3 linked regions of the Caenorhabditis elegans genome follow. The protein of the gene in region 1 purifies or fractionates together with the protein of each later gene. This does not show direct contact. Each region holds a gene or a part of one and is shown on either strand. Other genes may lie near its edges.

Region 1 (9,874 bases):
AAATTTGGTGGCGCCATGGCCAAATAAAAAATTAATATAAAAAAGGAATTAATGATTGCATTCACTCGGAATTTACATGCTAAACCACAATTGTTGATGTAAAGAAACGGAAAAGATCACAAATTATATGTAAACTGATAAGATTGTCTTTTGAAAAATTGGAAAAACCTCTTATCCTTCCATTTTTTGTGATGTTTTTCGTTCACAGCGCATCGGTTAGAATCTCAAAACTAGCATAGCCGTATCGGATGTTGAGAAAACCGTTGAAAAACTGAACAATATATAAGAGAAACGGGCAAAGCCACAATTTGTCGGCTTCAGAAATGGAGGTGGAGACTCGTGTTAAAGCGTATCGCTTTGTGGCCTATGCTGCTGTTACATTCAGTGTTGTTGCAGTACTTTCGGTGAGTAAAAACGTAGAAACAAGACTAATATTATGATTTCTTTGATAATTTGGAAGTGAATTAAAAATTAAACTGTGTCCAAAAACCCATTTATGAACTTTTTTGTAGGTATGTATCACACTTCCGATGGTCTACAACTACGTCTCGCACGTGAAGAAGGGTATTCATCACGAGATCCGGTACTGTAAGGGTTCTGCTAAAGACATTCTCAACGAGGTCTCCTCGATCCGTTCCAACCGTACCGCCCGTCAAGCTTCTTACGGAGATTCTGGTGCCGCTGGATCTGCTGGGGCCGCTGGAGGATCCTGCTCTGGATGCTGTCTTCCAGGTCCAGCTGGACCCGTCGGTACCCCAGGAAAGCCAGGTCGTCCAGGAAAGCCTGGAGTAGCTGGACTTCCTGGAAATCCAGGACGTCCACCACAAGCTCCATGTGACCCAATTACCCCACCACCATGCAAACCGTGTCCACAAGGACCACCAGGAGTTCAAGGACCACCAGGACCAGCTGGAGATGCTGGACTTGATGGACAGCCAGGAGGTCCAGGACAAGATGGACAACCAGGTCAACCAGGACCAAAGGGACCACCAGGAGTCAATGGACAACCAGGAGCACCAGGGCAAGATGGGAACCCAGGTCAAGATGCTCCATCTGAGCCACTTGTTCCAGGAGAACCAGGTGCACCAGGAGAGGCTGGACCACAAGGACCACCTGGACAACCAGGAACTCCAGGACAAAATGGTCAACCAGGTCAACCAGGACCAAAGGGGCCATCTGGACAACCAGGACAACCAGGATCTGATGGAAATCCAGGACCAGCTGGACAAGCCGGACAAGCAGGAAGTGTTGGAGAGAAGGGAATCTGTCCAAAGTATTGTGCTATCGATGGAGGAATCTTCTTTGAGGACGGAACCCGACGATAAACTGTTGATAATTGCATTATTTTATGTATCTGTTTATAAAGTTTTTTGTAGTTTAAAATGCAATTGGAATGAAGCGGAATGTTGTACAGTTACATTTTTTCAGCAATGAGCTGATACAAATGAACCAGCTCACTAAGTTAAAAAAAAGTAATTCCCTTTGTGGTTTTCTAAAATTAGAAAATAAATAAAACTTTATCGACAGACCTGGAAAATTGAAAAAAAAAAAACTGCACATAAAAAGTTAATTTTACTTCAATTTTATATTTCCATCTGAAAAATCAAAAAAAAAATGAAAGACATCTGCCACCAATGGGCAGATCATCGGAGAGGCTCCTAGTAGCGGGGAAAATTTAGAGAAAAGTCACCTCGAACTGAAAAAGAAAAAGAGCGATATGAAGTTTTTCGGGAAACGGGTTCAATGGAAATATATTTGTTTCTAACTTGAAAAAGTAAAAATTACAGAAAAAAACAAAATTGCATCGTTGATGAGAGATTGGGGAAACCGAATAGTTGGGAGGGATGATTTCAGAAAACTTTTGTAAAAGAACAACTAGCTTCTAGAAAGACGGAACCGGTAGAGCAATGAGAGAAATTTTCTATAGAAAATGATTTTTAGAAATCATTTTAAAAAAATAAAATAAAGAAGTAGATTACAGTTGCGATACGCAAATTTTGTCATTATTTCGATGATTGAGTTCCATTTCATCAGGTTTTGGTAATTCACAAATCTGAAATTAATAATATAATTTTCAACAAATAACTGGTGTTAGTTTATACCTGATCCATATTCTGATTGAATGTTACACGAGTCTCTCGATCCAACTCTTCCATTTCTTCATTTTCTTTTGAAACACAGCATCTAAAAAAAATAAATTTCAGGAGATTTGTTGTTTTAACTCAAAATTGTGATCCAAAAATCAAAAATATCACCAAGGAAAAATGACAAAAATAAGAAGTAAATCCAACATCAAGAATTTAAGGTTTTTCCACTTTTGTCAATTTTGCTATTTGAATTCCCTCTAAAGTTGCACCAACGAGACCATTTCGTGGTACACTCACTTTTCGAATGGGGTTCTAATTTAAAATACTCAAAATATTGCTGACAAAGAAGAAACTCAAAAAAATTCAAGAAATAATTGAAACTACAATTTTTGAAAACATGGTATTTCAACGCTGCCTAATATCCTTGTTCTATGTTTGGTGGGAATTCAAGCAGACATCTTAGCCAGGGTTGCAGAGGCATATTTTTGAATTTTGGATTTTAAAACGCAACAATATTTTCTACAGTTTTCATTTTCATTCATGATTATTTTCCATTTTAAATGCATTAACGAAAAGAAAGCATCAGTGAATTTTTTTGATGATAATTTATTTTATTGATGAATAGTATAAAATTTTTTCTTATTTTTTTACCCTGAAATCCAGAGACTAATAAATCTTCAAAGGATTGAAAATCAAAAACTCACAATCGCCTTTTACGCTTTGTTTTTCCTTTCAATGAAGCTGTTTCACTGGGCGGAGGAGTATTTCTTCCACCTTCAAACATCACTTCTGATTCAACAAATTCACGTTCCGTCGCTTTTTCTAGACACTGAAGAAGATGATGATGTTGGATTTCGAAGATATCTTCGTCTCGGAGAGCATCGAAAGAGAGATGACCTGCAAAAATGCACTTTTTAGAGTTATCTCAATTATAATCTAGAATTTTGTACACATAATTTTTTTTTAATGTTTCACATTGCTAATAAATTAAGTAACCGAAAACCTAAAACATTAAATATAAAAAAACGGAATAAAAAAAAACCACAGAATCTGTTTTTTATACCGGATTCAAAATTTGTGCCCTCTTGAGCAAGCGGAATCACGAACTGTTTTTATTAATTTTTAATTTTAATGTTTTATATTTGCTTTTTTTGAGCCAACAGAAATGCCAAGAGACCGAAAAACAAAATGGAATACTTTTCTATATTTCCAAAGTTAAATATTTTTGTGACAACTCAATAATAACTAACTTAAGCCGGCAATACGAAATGTTCTAATGAAAAAAAAAACCAACTTACCCTGTTCAAATGCTAGCATCCGAGCTTCATGAGCTCTCTTCTTATTGAATAATGCTAGTCCAGACGCGTTTTTAACGATCCGAATTCTAGCAAGACGGGCTTTCTGAAAATTGATTAAATTTAATCCAACAAATTTGCAAAAAAATCACTAAGTGTTTAAAAAGGTTTTACAACTGAACGAAAAACCATACCTTCTGTGCTTTTCTCTTGTCAGCTCTCTGATTTTGATGATAAATTCGAGAGAAATTGCTGACAATAACTGGAACTGGAAGAGCAATAACCAACACTCCAGACAGTGAGCATACTCCTCCAACTATTTTACCCATTATTGTTGATGGAACCATGTCTCCGTATCCAAGAGTTGTTAGCTGAAAGAAAAATTAATTTTTTATTATGAAAAACAATGACTGTGTTGTATGAATAGGTTTCACCTTTAGTCTTCAGTGATTTGTATAATTAAAAAAAAAATATTTTAATTTTTAATTTTTCCAATGCAAATATTAACTTTAAAATTTACATTTTCCTAGTGCATTTGGGATAAGGTATTTGCAAAACGTTGAAGGTTTTATGGAGAGTATTTAACGTAAAAATCAAAATTTCAACCCCGTTTCTTAATTTTACAAAGAAAAACTCACAGTCACAATTGTATACCAGAAAGCTGACGGAATCGAGGTAAATCTCGTCGCGTCGACCTTTTTCTCCGCATAATACATAATAGTGGCAAATATGATAATTGCCATTGCCAGTGAAAATACAAGGAATCCAAGTTCACTTGCACACGATTTAAGAGTGTAACCCAGAATTCGAAGACCTTGGGAATGTCGTGAGAATTTGAATATTCGGAAGACACGCTGTAAATTTTAGAAGGATTTGATCAAAGAATTAATGATTTTTATCAGAATGTTCGAAAAAATATTTGGATATTCAATTTAAGGATTAACAAAAGAAAAAACTTACGAAAACTCTTAAAGTGACAAACAAGCCGGATACATCCTTATTGTCAGTTAGTACCAAACTAACGTAGTAAGGCATTATGGCAATCACATCGATTACACTCATTATTGACCTGAAAAAAGAAAACCATTTAAATGGTTAAAAAAATAAGGACGAATAAATAACATGTTATCCAATTTTGACAAATGTGTCCTTAATTATTTTACAGTTTCATGATTGTTATGAGAAACATCTCTATATTTTTGAACTGATAATTTTGAACAAAACTTTTGAAATCATAAAAATGCATTAAAGACGGGCTAGAGGGTCATACTGAAATGGTTGAATTTTGTAATGAGACTTCTCAAAAAATTTTCCAATTTTTTTTTGGCGGCACAAGATTTTGAAAAGAATTACGATTATTTTAGCTCAAATCTTGAATTTCGCGAACTTTCCCATAGCATTGGGTAATTCGTTTTTATTTGATTATTATTCCTAATTGCGTTTTGCTAATTTATTTTTGTATTAAATAATTGGTTGATTAAATTGTCTCTAAAGCCGATAGGTAATCAAAAAGCGTCAAAATTGGATAATTAGAAAATTCAAAATTTTATTGCTGTTTCAAATGAGTTTGATAAAATCAGTGAATATTTAACTTATTAGTGTGAGAAGTTTACATATTGATATTAAAAGAAACGTACCTCATAAATTTGATTCGGTCCGGCGCAGAAATCAACCGTAAAAAGTACTCAATCGTAAAAATGATAACACACGCTGTATCGATAACAAAGAATTGCTCTTCATAGGCTTCTCCACACGTCACAGACACATTATCCTCATACCCACAAGGTATTGTTTCCACTATATTACACATCACTGATACAGCAATAAAAAATCCAATGACATAATAAAATACAAGTGCTATTGATGTTGTGTGCGGATTCTCGAATGCCGCCCACATTTTCTCTTTAAGAGACAATTTTAATGTTGATATATCCGCATTTTCTACACGTTCTTCTTGTAATCTTTCTTGATTTTCTCGTTTTTTATCTTTATAGTCTTCATAGCAACAATCTGATATCAAATCAGGCATTATTCCAAAGAAACTGAGCTCTTCGTCGTATGCAACAAGACATTCATGACGGGGATACTGAAAATATGGATTTCTGGGAAAAATGGAAAGTGGCGCATTTTAATAGATTTCAACAAGTCACCACATACTCAAACGAAAATCTTAAATTTTTCAAAGATTTTTTTTATTAAAAAATAATATTGAAAATTATAATACAAAATAAAATTTATTTTGAAATTAAAATTTATTTTCGAAAAATATTACTCCGTTTCCTTTGAGAAATATCTAGCAGTCTTACAAGTTCATACTCATACAGTGTTTGAGTAAAACTTATTAACGCATTATTAAAATAAATAAAAAATGAGGAATCGTCACTTTTGAATAAAATTTTAAAAAAAATTGAATTTATAAAGGATTTACTACATTATTAGGCCATTTAAGCACCATTAGGCATAATTAATTTAAAATATTCTCCGGCGATGCTCCAAATTCTCAAAAAGCATTGCTCAAAAGATTTAATATTTTTCTGAATAAAAATTGCATCTATTTTACAATCAATTGAATTCTGTATATTTCCAAAAAAAAATTGCAAAACAAATGCGTAAGTTTGTAGGCAGATATTTTTAATTTTAACGCCTGCCTGCTGCCCGCCTGCGGTTTGTCTGTAGGCTCGAGACAGGTCTATGCTGCTTTGTTGGTAGACGGGGACATTAGCGCCTATGTGAATGGGTTAAAATTTGATTTTTTATAGAAAAAATGTCAAAGCATGATTCTACATTTTAAGAACATTTTCAGCGGAAGTTTAGAAAGTTGAAGAGAGTTTATTTTTAAAAAAACTGTTTCAAAAAACATTAATTTTTAATGCTTGCAATTTTTTGTCTCAAACTGGCTCAAACAACAAAAACAAACAACTCACATGCAATTTTCCCGTTCTATAAAATGTGAGAATGTGTCGGAATATGTCCGGATCCCTATCGAAAAAGTATTCCCCAGTGTCTTCATCATAAAAGAACTCTTTTTCATTTGACCCCAATAGAGTCTCTGGGAACTTTTCCAACGTGTTCTTCCACGTTTCGAACCTTCGTCCTGATATGTTGATTGCTAGTTTTTCGTCAGAGACATGATCAACCGCGAGGTCTTTGGCCTGAAATATCACATTGAGAGCTTGTGAACATATAGAGATCTACAGGCAACACAAAAAATTAGTTCATGAAAAAGAGGAATCTGCCAAATAAATGAAACAGTAAAAATTTTGCATATCCAAAGTTCAAAATGTATATTTAGTTTCCCTCTCACTACGGATCCTGGAACTAAAAAGAGGATCTAATCTCTCATTGCATATGACACTCGTATCAAATTTCCAAATTTTCAAAAGACATCGACCACCTAACACGTGTGTGAACAAGAATTTATGAAAGAATTCCGTATTTTTTGATGTTTGAACCTTTTCCGCGAACAAGAATTCCTAATTGTGAGAACGTGGAAATTTCCACTGTTTTATAGTGTCTATAAATGACCGAATAGAAACACAGAATGCTGCCTAAGTGTCTCTCATTAAAAATGAAGATGTGTGGCGTCACACAAAAATTTTTAGAAATATCACAGTGTAAAAAAACATCGGGAAATAAATATTTGGCGCAATTTTTTCAGATCAAATTTGGACTACTTTATATTTAAATTTAGAAAATTATTCCCACCAAACCTAACCTGTATTGCAACTGGGGCCTGTGGCATGGGCTGTCTCGAAATGGGAACCCATCCGATAGCGGCGGCTCTCGCGAACGGCAGCCACGCCGCCACCGAAGCCATTCTGAAGAAGACAACGACGACGGATTCTGAACACTTTTCCTGATGACGTCGTTTTCAGGAAAATTTTTTCTATTTTGCTGGGTACGCTGTAAAGCAGGAGTTATGAAAATAATTTTGAAAGTTGAAGCGAATTAATGAAAAGAAAAGAAATCATTTATGGGAATTGGAAATATATTGAAGAATTTGAAAGTTTGATTTTTTTGAAAACTTATATTTCAAGTGGTCTACAACAGCAGTTGCTTGAAAATTAAATAATCGAGCTTTCGTTTGAAGTTTGAAATAAATTAATCGAAATAAAAAAGGGTAAGTCTGTATGTGTTTTGGGATAATAACATATCATAAAAATACAGGCGCATAGGTAGGTCGGTCGACGTGAGATATGCGGGTACATTGGAAAACCGGGGTTTCAGAAATGTTACATTCTGGAAAGAAATTGGAGACACAAAGGGCTGATGACTAAGTTTTCGAGTTCAAGATAATTCAGAAATATTTTTAGAAATTACGAATTTTAAAGTATGGAGCCATATGTAGTATATGTTGAAATTTGTAGAATCATTTCAAATGACTGTGAAACGGAAATTTTAGTTTGCTATGCCAAAAAATATATAACTTACGGTTTCACTTAAAAATCACAGGAAAATTTTCAATTTCAAAATCAAGATTTTCAAATCAATAATTTGTTTTAAGCAAACATTTGCAATACATCAACTACGGTAACTCTGACCTAACAACAAAAAAAACTATGTTTTTTTCTCAGAATACATAACCTATATAGCTGAATAGTGGTCTCAAGCCAAAAGTGAAGTCTAGAAGGCTTGCACGTCACAAAAAACTGCAAAAGTGCACTTGTTTCAAAAAAAAACGTTTTTAGAAACAGCAGCCAACTTTAAACTTTTTGTCGTTTTGCAAAAACATAAGGTTCTTTCCCACTCCAATTTTGATGGTTTCCTTGGCGCAGAGCTCCAAACGGGTGACGACGTGTGGGCTCAAATTACCCGTAAACGACGCGAGACGACGTCGAGATCGGTTCGAGAAGCAAGAAGCCGTGGGACAAAAGAAAATGTGAAGGAAAGAAAAGGAGAGAAAAGAACTGGAGGGAAGGAAGAAGTGTTACATTTCCAGTTTCACACTTTTCCTCTTCTTTTTCAATTTTATCCAATTTTGTGTGTAAAGAGCCCTCTTCTCTAAAGGCTCGCGGGCTCCTTGATGCCAGGAAAAGAAAGAGAAAACGATAGACAAAATTGGAAAAGTCGACCTCTTCTGAAGACATCTTCAGACTAGAAAAAAAAGAAAAAGAAAGAGAGAGAGAGAGAAAATGAAACTCGATATTCAATTTTTGCCTGAGAGGAGATGACTTGCTTTCCTCGATTTTTTGTGCTTATTTCGGTTGAATTGGATAAAGAGAGAAGAAAAGAATAAGCAAAATAAGCTGAAAAAAGAAAAGGCACGTTACGGAAAAGTTGAAGAATTGTTTAGAAAAAGTACAAGTTGAAGTTCATCTGAAATCACGTTTTGGAGGGTTTTTAATTGTTTTTGAAAATTTTTGAACTTTTTGAAAAGTTTTTTGAAGGTTGATTATGTGTACTTCAATTAGTCAAATTAAACTTCATGTTAGGAAAGAACACCATTGCCTACCTGCCTAACGCCTAATTTCTACATATTTGGGTGAAGCATGGTGTTTGATAGTCCCGTGGATAATTTTGCGTGCCTAACCCAATTTTTCTTGTTTACTTGATTTGTTGAAATTTTAATTTAGACTTTAAAAATGCTTGCTTTGGCAGTAGTTGACTGGCTCTCCTCATTTTTTTTGTGCTTTTTTCGGTTAAATTGGATTTAAAAAAAGAGGAAAGAATAATCAAGAATGAACTAGTTGATCAAAATAACTATAATACGTACCGATTAAAAAACTATTTTAAAAAACTATTCATAATAGTTGTGAAACGTTAATATTTTGAAAGTGGACTGTCACTTGTGGATACATTGTTTCTAACTGTAGTTCTCACTGTTTTAAACACTAATGCAGTATGTAACGAGTTTTGTAGAATCATTTCAAATGGTTGTGAAACGGTAATCTCTTAAAATACGTTAATAGTGCTATTAACTGTTACGATTTCCACATTTGAAATGCGGAGGCGTACTTTATGTAGTAAAATTTGGGCTAGGCGAGCCTGCCTGCCTATCGCCTAGTCTTCCGAATTTTTAAAATAATTTGTTTTGTGTTTGCGGGGTAGATTTTGCTTGGGCAATTCTCATTTTCCGGAATCAATAAACTCATTGAAAGTTTTCTAGGAACATACACTCAATATGATGAAACTGTGTGGCGTGTTTGCACAGATTTCAAAATTTAGGCCTGAAAAATTAGGGCACCCAGCAGTTTTAGCATTTTGAGTGTATCAAAACGCATATAAAACATGATGTTGTTTATCTATCATAGGGGTTCCTTAGAATTTATCAAATTTTAACTGTTTCACGAAGTCTTATTGTGTCAAGTCGTCAGATTTTGTATTATTTACTTTTTATGTATATCCAATATTTATGCAATCAATTTATTAAAACTAGAAGCTAGACAAGGAAATGCAATAAAATTGTGAGTATCGCTAGAAATAATGACTGTATACATTTCTCAAGAAACAGTAAATTAAATAGGCATATTTTGCAGAAGTGCAAACAATCAC
Region 2 (8,207 bases), on another chromosome or scaffold:
AAGTGTCCAACTGGTGCAGTGGGATTTTCGCTGGCTTCCAATCACAAGACCGGGGTTGGAGTCCCCACTGTGGCACAAATTTCTCTATTTTTTTTGAAGTATTTCAAACACGCTGAATCTAAATTTCCACATTGCAAAGCTCAAAAATTGATTTGAAAAGTTGAAAACTCGGTTTTAAAATTAAAATTTAAAAAGTCTATTTATTTTTTTTCGAATACTGATTTTTTCATCACAAATTGAAAAACTTGCACGCTTTGTATATATCTATAAAAAAAATGCAAAAAATGATCTGTGGGCATTTTTTGACAAAAGTGTCCAAATGGCGCAGTGGGATTTTCGCCGACATCCAGTCACAAGACCGGAGTTCGAGTCCTCACTGTGGCAAAAATGTTTCCTAACTTTTTTTTGGGGTATTTAAAACACACAGAATCCAAATTTCAACATTACAAAGCTCAGAAATTGATTTGTCAAGTCGAAAATTCGGTTTTAAAATTAAATTTTTTAAAATATACCAATTTTTATTTAATTTTGAAAAATCTTAATTTTGGCATGGAAAAAAAACCACACAAATAAAGTTGAACATGAGATCTACAGATAAAGGAATGTTATATCAAGGGTTAAATCACTTTTTCGATTAAAGAGGCTTGGCACAGTTGGCAAATCCATTCGGAGCTGGGGAGACCGGAGTGAAGCCGATGCTTGAATCGTTGTTTTTCTGAAACAAAAATGAGTTGAAAATTTGAAATCCTTGTAAAATTTCCGTTAATTTGACACCCATATCGACTGGGTTTCGCAAAATTTGTATTTCGGGCTTCTTGAAACGGCCTGAAACGGCCTGAAAAGGCTACAATACAAATTTTGTGAAAACAAGGCATTGTGAATGTTATACTAACACCGTAACGCGTCAAATTTGTGTTCGTACCGATAAAGTCATGAAAATCTAAAATGTTGGGCCTATTTCGGCCTGAAATGGCCTGAAAAGCCTGAAACTCCAACACTCTTGATTTATGTGTTAACACAGATAGAAATAAACCAAAACTAAACATAAATTTAACTCATGGAACTGTTTGCCGAGCAACTAATGATTTTGGCCTAAAAAAAAGCCTATTTAGGTCTAAAACGGCCCAAACACCTAAAAATTTTGAAAATGGGCAATTTTTGTGAAAACAAATTGAAATTTTGTTAAAATTTAAATTTTCAAACAAATTAACACCCAAAATGGTAGAAACTTCACATTTTGGCCTATTTCGGCCCAATCCGGCCCAAAACGGCCAGACTTTAAAAATGTTTGAAACCTAGTCAATATGGGTTTCAAATTAACGGAATTTTTGCGTAGAATCCGAATTTTTTGACAAAAATTCACGAAAATCAGCCAAAATTCGAAATTCACCCACCTGAAAGAACCGGATCATATCGTCATAGGTCACTAATCCATCCCTATCACAATCCAGTTCGGCGAATATTTTTGTGGCTCTTTGCTGGACGGACTCCTTATTGATTTCTTCACCTCCGCCTAAAAAAATGTTCAAAAAAATTTGGAAAAAAAAATTTGAGAATTTTTTTTTATTCAAAAAATTTTTTTTGTTCAAAAATTGTAAAAATTCTTACTTTTTCCTTCATTCAACTGGAATACTGACTGGGTAAAGTCCAAAAAAGCTGAATATCCAAAACAATCGCCTTCTCCACCCCCAGTTATCAATCTCATTGTCCATTTGGCATTAGTCTCGGCGGTCTGAGGCTGTACATGGGAAAGGCTGTCTAGAAGGTTCTGAAACACTTAACATTTATCAAAATTCACTTAAAATACTTAAAAATTTGATGAAAAGCGCTAAAAATCAATTTTGGAGCATTTTTGAAAGAAGTGTCCGAATGGCTCAGTGGGATTTTCACCGGTTTCTAATCACAAGACCGGGGTTCGAGTCCGCACTGTGGCAAAAATTTTTATTTTGTTTTTTTCACGGTAATTCAATGACGCTGAATTCAAATTTCACAGTTTCAAATAAAAAAAATTTGATTTTCCTATAGAAAACTTACCTCAAAAGTGATAGTCTTCTTGTCGACCCCGGCGAACGCCGTAAAAAGCCTTGAAATATACTGATCCGTGGCTTTTTCCGGTGCAATTATTGAGGCGAGCAGGTTTCGGAATTCTTCTTCTTTCATTTTACCGGTAGGTGATTCCTGAAAAAAACAATTTTTTCAAAATGGCACAGTGGGATTTTCACCGTCTACCAATCACAAGACCTGGGCTCGAGTCCGCACTGTGGCAAAAATTTTTATTTTCTTGTTTTGGGGTAACTTCTGGGTTCCGAATTCAAAAAGTTAAGTTTCAGCGTAGAAAAAATCTCAGAAATGGTCGAAAATTGGGTTCAAAATTTTAAACTGGAAAAAAGTTTGAAATTAGCTCTAAAGTTGGAATTTAGAGTCACTAAAATTTGAAACAGTGCCTAAAAACGTATTTTCTACCAATTCCAATAAATTTCAGGATTTTTCGAAAAAAAGTGTCCAAGTGGCGCAGTGGGATTTTCACCGACTACCAATCTGAACACCCGGGTTCGAGTCCGCACTGTGGCTTAAATTTTTTTATTTTTTGTTATTGGGCTAATTCGGCTGTGCTGAATTCAAAAAAAAAAAGTTTCAGCGCAGAAAAGTTTCAGAAACGGTTGAAAATTGTTCAAAATTTTAAACTGGAAAAAAGTTAGAAATGAGTGCTACACTTTGAATTTAAAGCCACAAAATTTCAAAAAACTGCAAAGAAAACGTATTTTCTGTGTATTTCCATAAATTTCAGCGTTTTTCAAAATTTTGCCAAAATGGCGCAGTGGGATTTTTGCCGACTACCAATCACAAGTCCTGGGTTCGAGTCCCCGCTGTGGCTTAAAATTTTTTTTTTGTTTTCCTGTTCTAGAGTAATTTTACTATGCTGAGTTCAAATTTCCATATTCCAAACCTCGAAAACCTCACATTTTTGAATTTCGCATACATATACTTTATCCATTTCGGACTGAACTGTGTCCTCTGCGTCAACTGCTCCAACGACGGTGGTTGAACTCCGATCTCCCATTTGTCCACCACCTCGTCTAGATCCATATCTTCATTTTTGTAGAAAATCTTGAATTGCAGCGCCCGTATCGACCAGTACAGGCGGTGGAAGAGGGTGTCGAATATGGAGTTGGTGAATAGTTTTGGTGGCTCTGAGTAGGCGTTGTGCACGGCTCGGTCGAACTGAAAATTACAGAGTTATAGTGAAAAAATTTAAAAAAAAAGCAAGATTGAATCAAAATCCGGAAAAAAACCTTTTTTTTTACAAAGAAAAAAAGTTTGGTGAAAATTTTCAAAAACCTTTTTTTTTTGGATTTTTGGAGAAATAGAATAGTTTCAAAAAACTAAAAATTGCCCCTAAGCTATACGGATATAGATAAAAATCAATAAAATTGGAAATTTGAGCATTTTTAACGGTTTTGTCCAAATGGCGCAGTGGGATTTTCGTCGTCTACCAATCACAAGACCAGGGTTCGAGTCCCCGCAGTGGCGCGAATTTTTTGTTTTGATTGTACTATGGTATTTTGAATGTGGAGAGCTCGAATTTTTAAATTTTAAAGCCTAAAAAATGGTACTTTTCCGATTTCTGCCCCCCAAAATGTTTTTCAATTTTTTAATTTAATTTAATTCACACGTGAATGTTTATTTCAATAGTATTTTAATTTTTTGGCTTAGAAAACAACAATACTAAGCCTGAAATTACAAAAAAGTTCACGTTTCAATAATGCAATTTTCGAAAACATTTTGGGGGGCAGAAATCGGAAAAGTACCTAAAAAATTTTTGAACAAGCTGAACATTTTAGATTTAAAGTTCAATTTTAAATATATTAAAAAATATCTTCAAAATGTGATTTCTGAGTGTAAATTTTCTAAAATTTTAACTTTGAACGTGTTTCATCATTAATTGTGGTAATTTTCCAAATTTTTTCAAAATTTTGCCAAAATGGCGCAGTGGGATTTTCACCGACTACCAATCACAAGACCAGGGTTCGAGTCCCCGTTGTGGCAAAAAATTTTTGTTTTGATTTTTTGGTGGTTTTTCATAGCGTACGATTTGAATTTTTAGGTCTCCAGATTGAAATCGTGAGAAAAATCGTGAAAAATCGTAAAAATTTTATTTCAATTTTTTTTTTTCGTTTTTCTTCGTTTTTCTATATTTAATATTCACTAACCATTTTTAATTTTTTTCCCGACAAGCCTAAAAATCAGAAAACTTATACTAAGAAAATAAAACAAATGAAAAAAAAGTTATGGCGAAAGCTAGAAAATTGGAAAGCAGGTGGAAATTTTTAGAGGAAATCAATACGGAAAACTCTGGATTTTCTGATGAAACCAGGTGAAAATAAGGGCTAAATTAGAATTTTAACAAGATTTTATTATTTTTGAGCATTTTTGAAAATTTTGCGCAAGTGGCGCAGTGGGATTTTCGCCGACTACCAATCATGAGACTGAGGTTCGAGTCCGCGCTGTGGCAAAATTTTTTTAAAAGATTTTTTTTGGTTTTTGGGGAAACTCAAGGGTGTTAAACTCAATTTTCTATGCTTGATATTCCAAAAATATCTGGAACAACTTGTTTTAAAATTGATGTTCTCAAAAAATGGAAAATTAGTATTAAAACTGGATTTTTTAGGAAAAAATTGAAAATTTTGACCCAAGATTTTTCATAATTTTCTATGAATTTTCGACAAATTTCAAAATTTTGCGCGAGTGGCGCAGTGGGATTTTCGCCGACTACCAATCATGAGACCGGGGTTCGAGTCCGCGCTGTGGTCGAAATTTTTTTTTCAGTTTTTTTTTTGGTTCTTGGGGTAATTCAAGGGTGCTGAACTCAAATTTCAATGTTTTAGGTTTCAAAAATATTTGGAACAACTTGATAATTTAGTTTAAAATTCGTAAAAAAATTCGATTTTTTTTTTTCAAATATTTTAAACTTACTATAATCTGATAGAGACTTTGCTCATATTGGTCCTGTAACATAGTAGATTTACGACCTGGCCTGTCGCCACGTCTCGAGTCAATTGATGAGGCTCCGCCCATTTTTTTAACTTTTCATTTTTCACAAAAAAATAATTTCAAAAAAAAATTTTCCAAAAATTTTTTTTCGGGTTTATCTTGTTTTTATGTTGGAATATAGCTGATAGGTGATAGTGGTAATAGACAAGTGATGATATCAGTGATAAATGAGGGTTGAGAGATGAGAACTGGTGGCACTGGTGGCACCCCCTCCCTGCTGACACGACAAGTGATAGTGGTCGAGCAATTGAGAGATATCAGATGGTGATAAGAGGGGAAATGATGAAAAAAGAGAGATAAACACATATATAATGTTGTTTTTGTGTTTTTTTTTAATCTCGAAAAAAAAAAATTTTTTTTTTTGAAAAAAAAGTTGAAATTTTTTCGAATTTTCCCGATTTTTTACAAATTTTTAAGGTTTAAAATTGTGAAATTCAAGATGAGAACCTGTAAATTACACATAAAAAACAAAGTGAAACGGAAAAAAAATTGGGCCACAGCGGGGAGTCGAACCCCGGTCTTGTGATCGGTGGTCGGCGAAAATCCCACTGCGCCATTTGGAAACTTTTTTTCAATAATGTTGGTCGTGCAAAAATTGAGTAAATTAACGTTTCAAGCATGAAATATAATTATTTATATGGGAAATATGATTTTCAAGCTAATTTTCAGCGTTTCGAAAAAAAACCATTTCCCAAAAAACCAAAAAAACCGAAACTAAATTTACGACTATTTCTAGAAATTTTACAATTCTAAAACTAGTAAATTCAAGCTCTACACAACTAATATGCTCTCACAAAACTAGAAAAAAAATTGTGCCACAACGGGGACTCGAACCCCGGTCTTGTGATTGGTAGCCGGCGAAAATCCCACTGCGCCATTTGGACAAAATTGTCGAAAATGGCGGAAAATGGCTGCTTTTATCAAAAATTTATCTTCTTAAAGTTTTTGTGCAAATCTTGGAAAGAAGTTTCATAATATAGAAAAAAAATTTCAAAAATTTTTTTTTCAATGTTTTTAGTACGAAAGCCCAAACAAATTTTGCCGAAAAAAGAAAACATCACTCACTAGACACAAAAATTTGAGAAAAAAGAACGAATAAATGCCAAACGCATATCCTTTTCGTGTCTTTTGGAATGGGAAAAAGAGATATTGAATAGAAGAAAAAATAACTGGAAAGATATAAATGGAATTGTCTTCTTTTTTTGGTTAGAATGCTCGTTTGGGTATGAAATTACAAAAATTCAAGTTTAAATTCTATTGATAATAGGAAAAATTTTGGAAAAAAATTTTTTTGAAGATACAAAAAAAACTAAAATTTTATTCTAAAAACTGAAAATTAACGTGACAAAATACAAAAATTCAAGTTCCCCACCCTTAAATTGTCCTTAACCTTTTCGAAAATTACAAAAAAAAAATTTTGCCACAGCGGGGACTCGAACCCCGGTCTTGTGATTGTAAGGCGGCGAAAATCCCACTGCGCCATTTCGGCAAAATTTTCAAAAATAGTGAAAAATGCTAAAAAGTGGGATAATTGACAAGTAAACACATTTTCAGCGTAAATTTTCTGTTTAAATGAAAAAAAAACCAGTTCTACAACCAATTTGAAATTTGAAGTATTGGGAGACGCTTTTCGACAAGTTCTCAAACTTTTTGCGGTCTGAAACCTCGAAATTCGAGTTAATTATCTTTGAATTACTCGAAAAATCCACAAGAAAAAATTTTGACCACAGCGGGGACTCGAACCCTGGTCTTGTGATTGGAGCCGGCAAAAATCCCACTGCGCCATTCAAACGAAAATTTCAAAAAAGGTGGAAAGTGATGATAATAATAAGAAAAATAGGTTTTCAATCCATATTTCACAAATTAATTCTAAAAATCTAATAATTTAAATAAAATTTTCACAATTTTCGGATAAAAATTTCGAATCCAAAATTTCGACCTTTCTAAAAGTTTTGCACCTTTAAAACCAAAAAAATGCAGGTTTTAAAGTCGAAAAAACCGTAAAACTGCTCAAAATCACAAGGAAAAAAATTTTTGCCACCGTGCGGACTTGAACCCCGGTCTTGTGATTGGGAGTCGCCGAAAATCCCACTGCGCCATTTGGGCAAAAGTTACAAAAACACTAAAAAATGTAAAAATTTGCAGGAAAATCATAAAATTTATGTTGTCACTCGGGTTTAAAGACGAAATGAAACAAAACGTTGTGAAATTTGATAGGACCCTTTTTTTTCGGAAATCAGAGCCCCCGAGGAAAGAGGGGGACTCTGATTTACGATTGAGCATTGAACAGGAGGTGGAATATCTGTTAGGCTTTGTTATGAAACTAGAAAATTGAAAATGAATTGAGAAAATTTAGGAAATTTGGGAAAATTTTTTTCAAAAAATTCGAAAAAAAATGTTTTTTTCAAAAATTTGGCCTAAAATTATTTTTTTTTTCCCAACATTTTTTGTTTCAACTTGGGTTATTTTAGTTTAAAATCAACGTTTTCCCACATTTTTCACACCAAAAAATCGAAAAAAAGCAGCGAAAATAGAGAAAAAAAGCGAAGAAGAAGTTCTCATCTTCTATCTCATTTCAGCGTCATTAATTATTCGACTTTTGTGGTGTTGTGGTGGTGGTGTGTAGCATTGGTTATTAGTTGTATCTCTAAAAGTCTGTGGAACAAGAAAAAAATTATACATACTACACTCTTTTTGGAAGTTTTTAGGCCAAAGATGACTGACTTTGCCGATATGCTATATTAAATAGTATATTTTTTGCATTTTTAAAACTCAAAATATATAAAAATTACGAAATCTACCTTAAATATTACATTTCTTTCGAATTCAGTCAATTTCCGCCATTTTCGACAATTTGTCTGAATGGCGCAGTGGGATTTTCGGCGCCCTCCAATCACACAACCGGGGTTCGAGTCCCCGCTGTGGCAAAATTTTTTGTTTTATTGTTCTTAAGGCAAACCGACTGGGCTGAGTTGAAAATTTTAGGTTTTGAAGCTTAATAAGTTCCAGAAAATACGAAAATTTAGTTTTTAGAAAAATGTGGAAAAAACAATAGTTTTCTTACTTAAAAATTTTTCACTATTTCAAATTTTTTTGCTATACTGACAACAAAACTAAGCTTATCATGCTAAAAATACCGCCCAAGTTGGAAAAAA
Region 3 (7,274 bases), on another chromosome or scaffold:
AAATACTCATCAAACTTGTTGTATGTGAGTATTGCATATGCGCCAACAAACCTCCTCATCCCTACACGCCCACAACGGAAAACAGTTTGGACTTTTTTGTTTTGAAAAATCGTATCTCATCACACACGCCCTGATGTTTGTATTTTATTTTGATGAACTGCAACAATAATAACTGTGTCGACTCAATAAATCGTTTTTGTATACCACAGTTTATTATTTTATTTATTTTCAGCCATAATACATAATTTTAAAAAGATGGTAAAGCGGAGCGTCTCATTTTTTAGCAGGAACATTTTTAGCATGTTTCCATTAGTGATATATGTATAAGTCTACGGTGGACTTATTTGCAAAAGGCTTTTTCCCCACAGTTCACCAATCGCAAACCACCTGTTGATAACTGGAGCCTGGTTTGAAAAAAAGGTAATTATTATAGTTTTACGGGATTGATAAGCACGTTTCATTTTACTATTCATTTTATAAAAATATATAACTAAAAACGATATATCAATTTATTCAATAAATACAAATACAACCCATAATGTGAAATTGTTTTTAAACCATAAAAATGTTTAGATTGTTCAACCAGGAAGAAGAGTGTAAAGTGCCGAAATTGAGTTTAAAATTGTTCGGTCAGTTTTACAAATATGTAAGAAATCCTTTTTTGTTATTCGTCCTTTTTTTCCAACATCGAACTTCTGGAAATTTCAAAACTATTTGACATTTATTAAGACAATTGTTGCTGAGAGTAAACAGTTCTGAGATTTCTTAACAAGATATTCCGAGTATCAGATTCTGAAGTAGGCTAAATTATGTGTGCATAACGGATGTGGGTCAGTATGTATTCGAAATAGTGAAAATATTTTAACTCTCATAGTTTTTTTTGTTATTTATTGTTATTTAAAAAATAGTGTAGCCTCCATTAAAAATTTTCAATACCAACAAACTTCATAAAACATTATGTTTAACGAGATCAGTTTATTGCATTGCCCTCTTGGTGCACAATTCAAAAGCTTTATCACCGTTCGCTATTATTTATTAATAATTAATAACCTTTGTTCAGTGCTACCTCAGTAAGGTCATAGCTGTATGAATCACTCACCGCAAACACTTGATTTGTAAGCTCACATTTCTGCTCTCTTGTGTGATGTGGTCTGGCGTGCTTACCTAAAATGACGATTTTTACAAATCAGGGATGTTTTTAGTTCACCAACCCATTAAATCATCCATAGATGTGATCACATAGAATAATCGGTCCCAAGTAACTTCTCCTTTTTCTTTCGGATCATACAACTTGTATAGCCAGTCTAACTTTTCGTCCAACGTGCCACGACAGAGAATTGAGAGAGCTTTCACAAACTCCTGGGAAAAACTTCACACTTGTCAAAGTGTAATGTAATGAGAACACTCTCACCTGGAAATTGATTGTTCCATTCCCATCATTGTCAAACGTTTCAAAAAGGAGATCAGAATAATGTTCAATATCACCATGAGGAAACAATTCCGCAAATTTTTCTCTCATAATATCTGAAAATATATATTTTCCGATGACTTATTGTGACAAATGTGTTTTACTTTTGTTGATGACAGCGTTTGGTGATGTTTCTTTGAAGGCTCTGTATATTGCTCTGACTTCATTTTTTGAGAAATGAGTTTCATCCACTACCTGAAAACAGAAAAGTAGGAAATATATTTTTTAAATTAAAAAAAAATATATATATTTCATTAACTATAAATATCGAACATTTGTAGAATCACAGATACAATTATACCTTGTTCAAAGACACATTTGGGTGAAGACCCCCGGAAAGTTGCACTGATTTTCGAGTTCCAAACCGATGGTATATCTTTTTACTATGAATATTAGAGTTTTCAGGCATAGAAGGTAGTTTCAAAAGCAAAGAATCGTGAAATGGATAGAGAAATCAGCCGGAGGAGCTGACTTTTTTCTTCGCTTTCGGCACACACCGACTTTACAACATCCTCACTCGCTTGGCCAACACAGAGTTTGGTTGACAAGATGATATTAATGAGATAACTGAAGACCATCTATCAACATGTGTAAGCATATTATCAAAACACCTCTTTTTTTCAACAGTACCTCCCAGAACATTTTTTCAGTCTGATAGTGAGCCTAAGAAATTGAGCTGCATACTTCTTACTAAAAATTAATACTGACGTCAAAAGTTTTATGGGATTCAGAAAGTTAAAAATGAAAAATAAAAATAGTAGCTTTGCTGAGACGACCCACTCATACAGAAGTATGCTTTGCAACAAATATGACCAAGAAAACTATGAAGTAGAACAAAACACACTTCTTGAAAAAACATCAAAAGGTTGCAACGACAAGAAGAGTATTGAAGATGAAAAATTCAAAAAACAACTTTTTTATTCGGTTTCTGGATGGATTGATCAATAAAAATGTTCCAACTGAGTTAAACATTTGAGCAATTTTTTAGAACTGTAAATTCAAAACATTTTCCAGCAAGTGTGATCCGGAAACTATCTGAATTTTTTAACATTTTGAGGTTTTCGGATATCATCTCAACGAAAGACAAGATTTTAAACTCGAGTTATTCACGACAAAAACTGTTTTGAATAGAACGACGACTTGATTTTTTAAGATAATTTTACTTTTTTATGCAAAACAAAAGCGAATACAGTAAAAATAGCTTATATGCATGAGCGGAAAACTACTTTTAATTAAAGTAAAATTGTGATAACCCGAACAAATTCTAGAATCGAAAATTAATATTGGAATACTGAAAAATTACACATTCTACAGGTAGACAAAAACAGCCGTAGATTCGCTTAAAAGCAGATGGGAAACTTTTTGTTCCCACGTGGAAAATTTCTAGCAAGATACTAGCAATTTGCGGAAGTACGAAAGAAACAAAAAACAACTTGACCAGCAAGGTATAATTTTGTTTTTCAATAAGTCAATCAAATTATTTTTCAAGTTTCTTTCTGGAATTCGAATGGAATTCAATATATTAACAATTCCGTTTAGGTCACGGAACACAAATCTGTGTCCAGTTATTGAAAATGATCGAGTTTTCAATATTTTGTAGCCATGTCACCAAAATTGGAACCGTTTTTTTATTTGAACTAATGATATAATTAACATAATACAGATGAATTGAATAAGAGTATAAAAAACAAAAGGAGATAATCGCAGAGGTTCTTAATAAAATTGAGCTCTGGATAAAAATACATACATTTTAGAATCATAAAACTTTTTATCTTTAGCTGTTTTTCATAAGTTTCTTACAACAAAATTCTTCATGTCCCTCTACCAAAATTTTCGTCGTTTAACTTGAATTACTTTACATCTTCTACTAATTAATCCCCCGTTCATTGAACTTTAGATCCCTTAACAACTTGGTATTTTACCAACTTGATGATACATTTCCGGCCTTGTTTCCTACATTCCTACCTCCAAAACCGCGACGGTCGGTCTCCTTAATACACGCACACACGTCAATCTTATTGACAAAACGAAGAGTTGGCAAGAACAGAGTTCAATATTATCTTCTTCAAACTCCCTTTATCTTTAACTATATCTTCAACTTAACTAATCGCACTGACCGTATTTGACCATATACTCAAATAACTACAAGGAAATAAAGTACATATATGTTAACACTACATTTCGTTGTTATCATTACAAATTGGCGATATCTCGTATTGCAAGTTTCTTCCCTTTGCGCAACATATCTCAAAGTACAAGTACCTGCTGTAGACTGGATGGTCGAAAAACATGCTGATGAATCGGCGAAAGGAGGGGAACATCAATTTTGTAATCGAATCCTTAACTTTTGAAGATTATTGTTTTGCTTTATGATGGGAGTTCTCACCTATCACTGGTTCCTCTCCGGGCGCTGGAAAAGATATTGCAGAACGTCGTTTCCAGCTGCTCATCTAGTAACTGCTATTTGTACAATTTTTAAGGAAGTTATACGGTAAGTGTTTCAAACGGCAAAAAAGTATTTATTCAACCATGATTCAAATTAAAAAACACACCCTGAATATGCTTCAGTCAAAAAAAATTGTCATAGTTTAATGACGTGAAGCCCTTTAAAATCCACGATTGAGTACGAATAGGAAAAGATGCATTAAATTTTTTATCTCCTGCAGAGAATACTTTACATTAAAGTTTAAAAAAAATTTCAAAATATATATTCAAAATTTTAAATTCAAAAGGTTAAGGCTGTTGCAGTTTTTCATGAAAATGTTTGACTTTCTTCTTCAATTTTTTTTTTGCAGGACTGGTAATTTGAGGCTCTCTAGTCAAGTGACTCAAGAAGCTCGAATTAGTAGTGAAAAGAGGCAAGACCAAATTGACCGAAAAAAGAACTAGAAGGAAAGCCATTAAACTCGAGAATTTGAATTCCGCGATCGAAATAAATGGGGAAATCAAAGTGCTGCCAACAGTTACCGCCAAGTCGATCAAATTGACACAACGGGGCCTGGGAAATCAGCGGCGGTTGGAAACGGGGCATCGAGGAAGAGAGGTGTCCTGTCTTTTCCCCTTTCCGACGGGTTTTTTGTCATGCAAGAAGAATGACTTTTGAGTGACATTGCCGTTGGAGACGCAGTGTTATTGGTGAGAGCACGAAAAAGTTGTATTGCAAGTCCAGTGCCATCGCACGCAAAAATGACTCGAGGCACATTGGATAAGAGATGATTTCGGTTGATGGTCGGGAGGACAGACAGAGCGGCGACAAAAGAATCCTGCTATCAACACATGTTTCTTCCTGTTTCTTTTTTTTTTCATTTTTTCCGTCTTCGTTTTCATTTGGATTCATCCGCTCGTATCATCTCATAAAACCTATCCGCAAAGAAAAACAAAGTTGTCTAGACTAGCTTCATGTTTGAAACAGATACATTTGAAATATCAATCAACGTTGAGCTAAGTTATTCTGTAATGATGCTTCTACTAATGTTGTGTAGCCAGTTGTTACTAACTTTGCATTTTAAAAAGTGCTGTAAAAATTAATACACCATTAGTACGTCTGTAGTTTCCGGCTCATCAAATTTAAAAAAAACTTTGAATTCTCATACAAATCTAATTTTGTCGATTGGAATGTTTTCAGTATGATACTAAATCACATTGTTCTATTCGTTTATACATTTTGATCTTGATCGACTCAGAAATTGATAATGATGCACACAGTTTTAAACCTTTAGCATTCATATTTAAACTATATTACAAGAGTAATTCGCTCGACTGTAAACTTTTCATTGATAGCATTGTACCTTCGGAAAATTTGAATTGTATTATCAAATTATCAATATGATGATACTTGAATGTGTAGGAATTAATTTTATTTTAATATCTATTTAAATCCCAAAAATGTATTCGCTACAGTTCTTTACATAATTAAGCACCCGCATCCACTTGTACTTTTTGGAGCTCTGACGTTATCCATGTAAGCCTCAGAAGTTTGCATATTACCAGGTGGGTCGTATTTGATACAAACGTAGACATGATACATTGTTCCCCGCTTTGCAACTGAAACTCCAACTCCAATTTTGCGCGAATTCTTCCAGAGCAGTTGAGTGAAGTGCCCGACTTTCGACCAAGATCCAGGGTTAAAGCTTGAGAAAAAAAGTTAAATTTAGGCATTCATTACATCGAGATTACCGAGTGTAATTAAATCCATAGCCTTCTGTATAAAATCCGTGTATGAGTGCAGCTGCACAAGTTTTTGGAGATGGGAATTTTGAAGACGCAAACGATGTTAGATTTTCACCGTATCTGTAAAACTGAATCAGATGTGAAAAATGGTATCAACTCACTTTGAAGGTTGCTCGTGAACTAAACATTTCTTGTGAAAGGCCATTTCATCCGACCATTTCTGGGCAAGATTGGTAAGATTCGAATCTACAGTAACTGCTGGAGAGCTATGATGAGCTCTATACTTATTATGAAAGTGTACAATCCATTTTTTAAGATCTTTGATACTATATTCTGCTGGATCCAATTTGTCTTCTAATGACTTGTTTTGCATATAGACCATAACATCGCTTGGCTGAACATAGCTGCTTAATTTTTTAATTTTCGAAAACGTACATTTGTTAGCTTGGTTAGTTCTGGATCTACGCCGGAGATTGAAACAAACATCTTGAAAACGTTAGTCGCTGAGCGTTGTTGACTCTGAGAACGGTCTGAAAAAATATATGGGAATTCAATAAGCAAATATCACGAGATGATATAAAGCAAATGGAAAACGGCACAAAATCAAAAATGATGTTTAACAGGAAGCGGGAAACTTGTGATCGCGTAGGAGAACATCTGAAAAAGGTTTGACGCGGTGTTTTATTTGATCGATCAACCCATAAAGATCCGAAACAGTTCTGGAAAATATGTTCAGCTGGCTGTGCAAACAGGAACACTGCTTTTTGTACTTTTCCAGGAGAATGACTCATTGAAATATGCGAAATTGGGGAAAAAGGCACTTCAAGACTATGATGCATGGAAGACTGCCAACGGTTTTCAACATTACGAATGTTTTTGGTGAAGCGTGGATGTATACAAACAAACACAAAAGGAATCTTCGCTGATTTTGAGATGGAGTTTGTAGAAAATGTTCGGGAGAATTTGTTATTTTTCTGATTGTGGTTAAACATTCTTGAATCTAAATGATATTGGACTAATATAAATTAAACGAAAAGAATAAATGAAATAAGTTAAAATAGTAGTGAAATGTTGCTCCAAACAAACTTTATTGTGAGGTACAATTATGTGCAAGCTTTGGTTGATCAAAGTACATTTCACACTTACGGGCATGTAGTATTGGAACAGCCGAATTGTAATTTTCAGATTTTTGCGCGCTAACGTGGACGCATTTTGTATGAAAATTTTGATTAAATATTGAACTGCTACTTGTTGAAATAAAATATTTTTCCGTAGGAGAACTGTCTTGGTCCTATTGTTTTTATAAGTCTTTTTGAATGCTGTGAAAAGTGTTTGTATAGTTTCAAATTCTTAGCAAAACAATCATTTCATGAATACAGAACAAGAGATCAATTGGTAAGTGAAATATACAATAATCGGCGATATGACTCTATTAACATATACATCACGTCGTTGGGAAGTGCAGCAGTGAAACAAATTCAGCAATTCAATTATGCAACAGGTCGTTCGACATTATTCAAATATGCCTTGTGAGATTCGAAATTTCCAGCCGGATCATATTTGACGACAACATAGATAAAGTACATATTTGGAGAAGAGCTGACACATGGGGAGCGAATTGAACTGGATTTGACTA

Evidence for each region.
Region 2: the proteins of shl-1 (region 1) and ncs-5 purify together in Caenorhabditis elegans (affinity purification with western blotting, with the first as the bait; one study listed by BioGRID). This does not show direct contact.
Region 3: the proteins of shl-1 (region 1) and ncs-4 purify together in Caenorhabditis elegans (affinity purification with western blotting; one study listed by BioGRID). This does not show direct contact.

The regions. Positions count from the first base shown.
Region 1 is NC_003282.8:6,376,784-6,386,657, forward strand, and holds shl-1 (BTB domain-containing protein), read right to left. Parts: upstream 7,288-9,874; 5' UTR 7,200-7,287; coding exon 7,098-7,199; intron 6,535-7,097; coding exon 6,307-6,534; intron 5,469-6,306; coding exon 5,020-5,468; intron 5,003-5,019; exon of another isoform or gene 4,982-5,002; intron 4,612-4,981; exon of another isoform or gene 4,591-4,611; intron 4,452-4,590; coding exon 4,343-4,451; intron 4,237-4,342; coding exon 4,021-4,236; intron 3,754-4,020; coding exon 3,577-3,753; intron 3,489-3,576; coding exon 3,386-3,488; intron 3,121-3,385; exon of another isoform or gene 3,100-3,120; intron 2,985-3,099; coding exon 2,792-2,984; intron 2,185-2,791; coding exon 2,103-2,184; intron 2,054-2,102; coding exon 1,976-2,053; 3' UTR 1,502-1,975; downstream 1-1,501. Other genes in the region: bli-6 (Nematode cuticle collagen N-terminal domain-containing protein), read left to right, coding at 324-404, 513-1,325.
Region 2 is NC_003283.11:18,823,716-18,831,922, reverse strand, and holds ncs-5 (EF-hand domain-containing protein), read right to left. Parts: upstream 5,182-8,207; 5' UTR 5,077-5,181; coding exon 4,975-5,076; intron 4,048-4,974; exon of another isoform or gene 3,977-4,047; intron 3,223-3,976; coding exon 2,962-3,222; intron 2,876-2,961; exon of another isoform or gene 2,805-2,875; intron 2,179-2,804; coding exon 2,035-2,178; intron 1,769-2,034; coding exon 1,609-1,768; intron 1,514-1,608; coding exon 1,395-1,513; intron 716-1,394; coding exon 635-715; 3' UTR 501-634; downstream 1-500.
Region 3 is NC_003284.9:10,173,881-10,181,154, reverse strand, and holds ncs-4 (EF-hand domain-containing protein), read right to left. Parts: upstream 4,635-7,274; 5' UTR 3,919-4,634; coding exon 3,855-3,918; intron 3,808-3,854; coding exon 3,731-3,807; intron 1,975-3,730; exon of another isoform or gene 1,878-1,974; coding exon of another isoform or gene 1,770-1,877; intron 1,664-1,769; coding exon 1,573-1,663; intron 1,525-1,572; coding exon 1,412-1,524; intron 1,360-1,411; coding exon 1,212-1,359; intron 1,165-1,211; coding exon 1,100-1,164; intron 696-1,099; coding exon 579-695; 3' UTR 501-578; downstream 1-500. Other genes in the region: C07A4.3 (SCP domain-containing protein), read right to left, coding at 5,373-5,598, 5,645-5,758, 5,800-6,032, 6,074-6,124; C07A4.2 (SCP domain-containing protein), read right to left, coding at 7,129-7,274.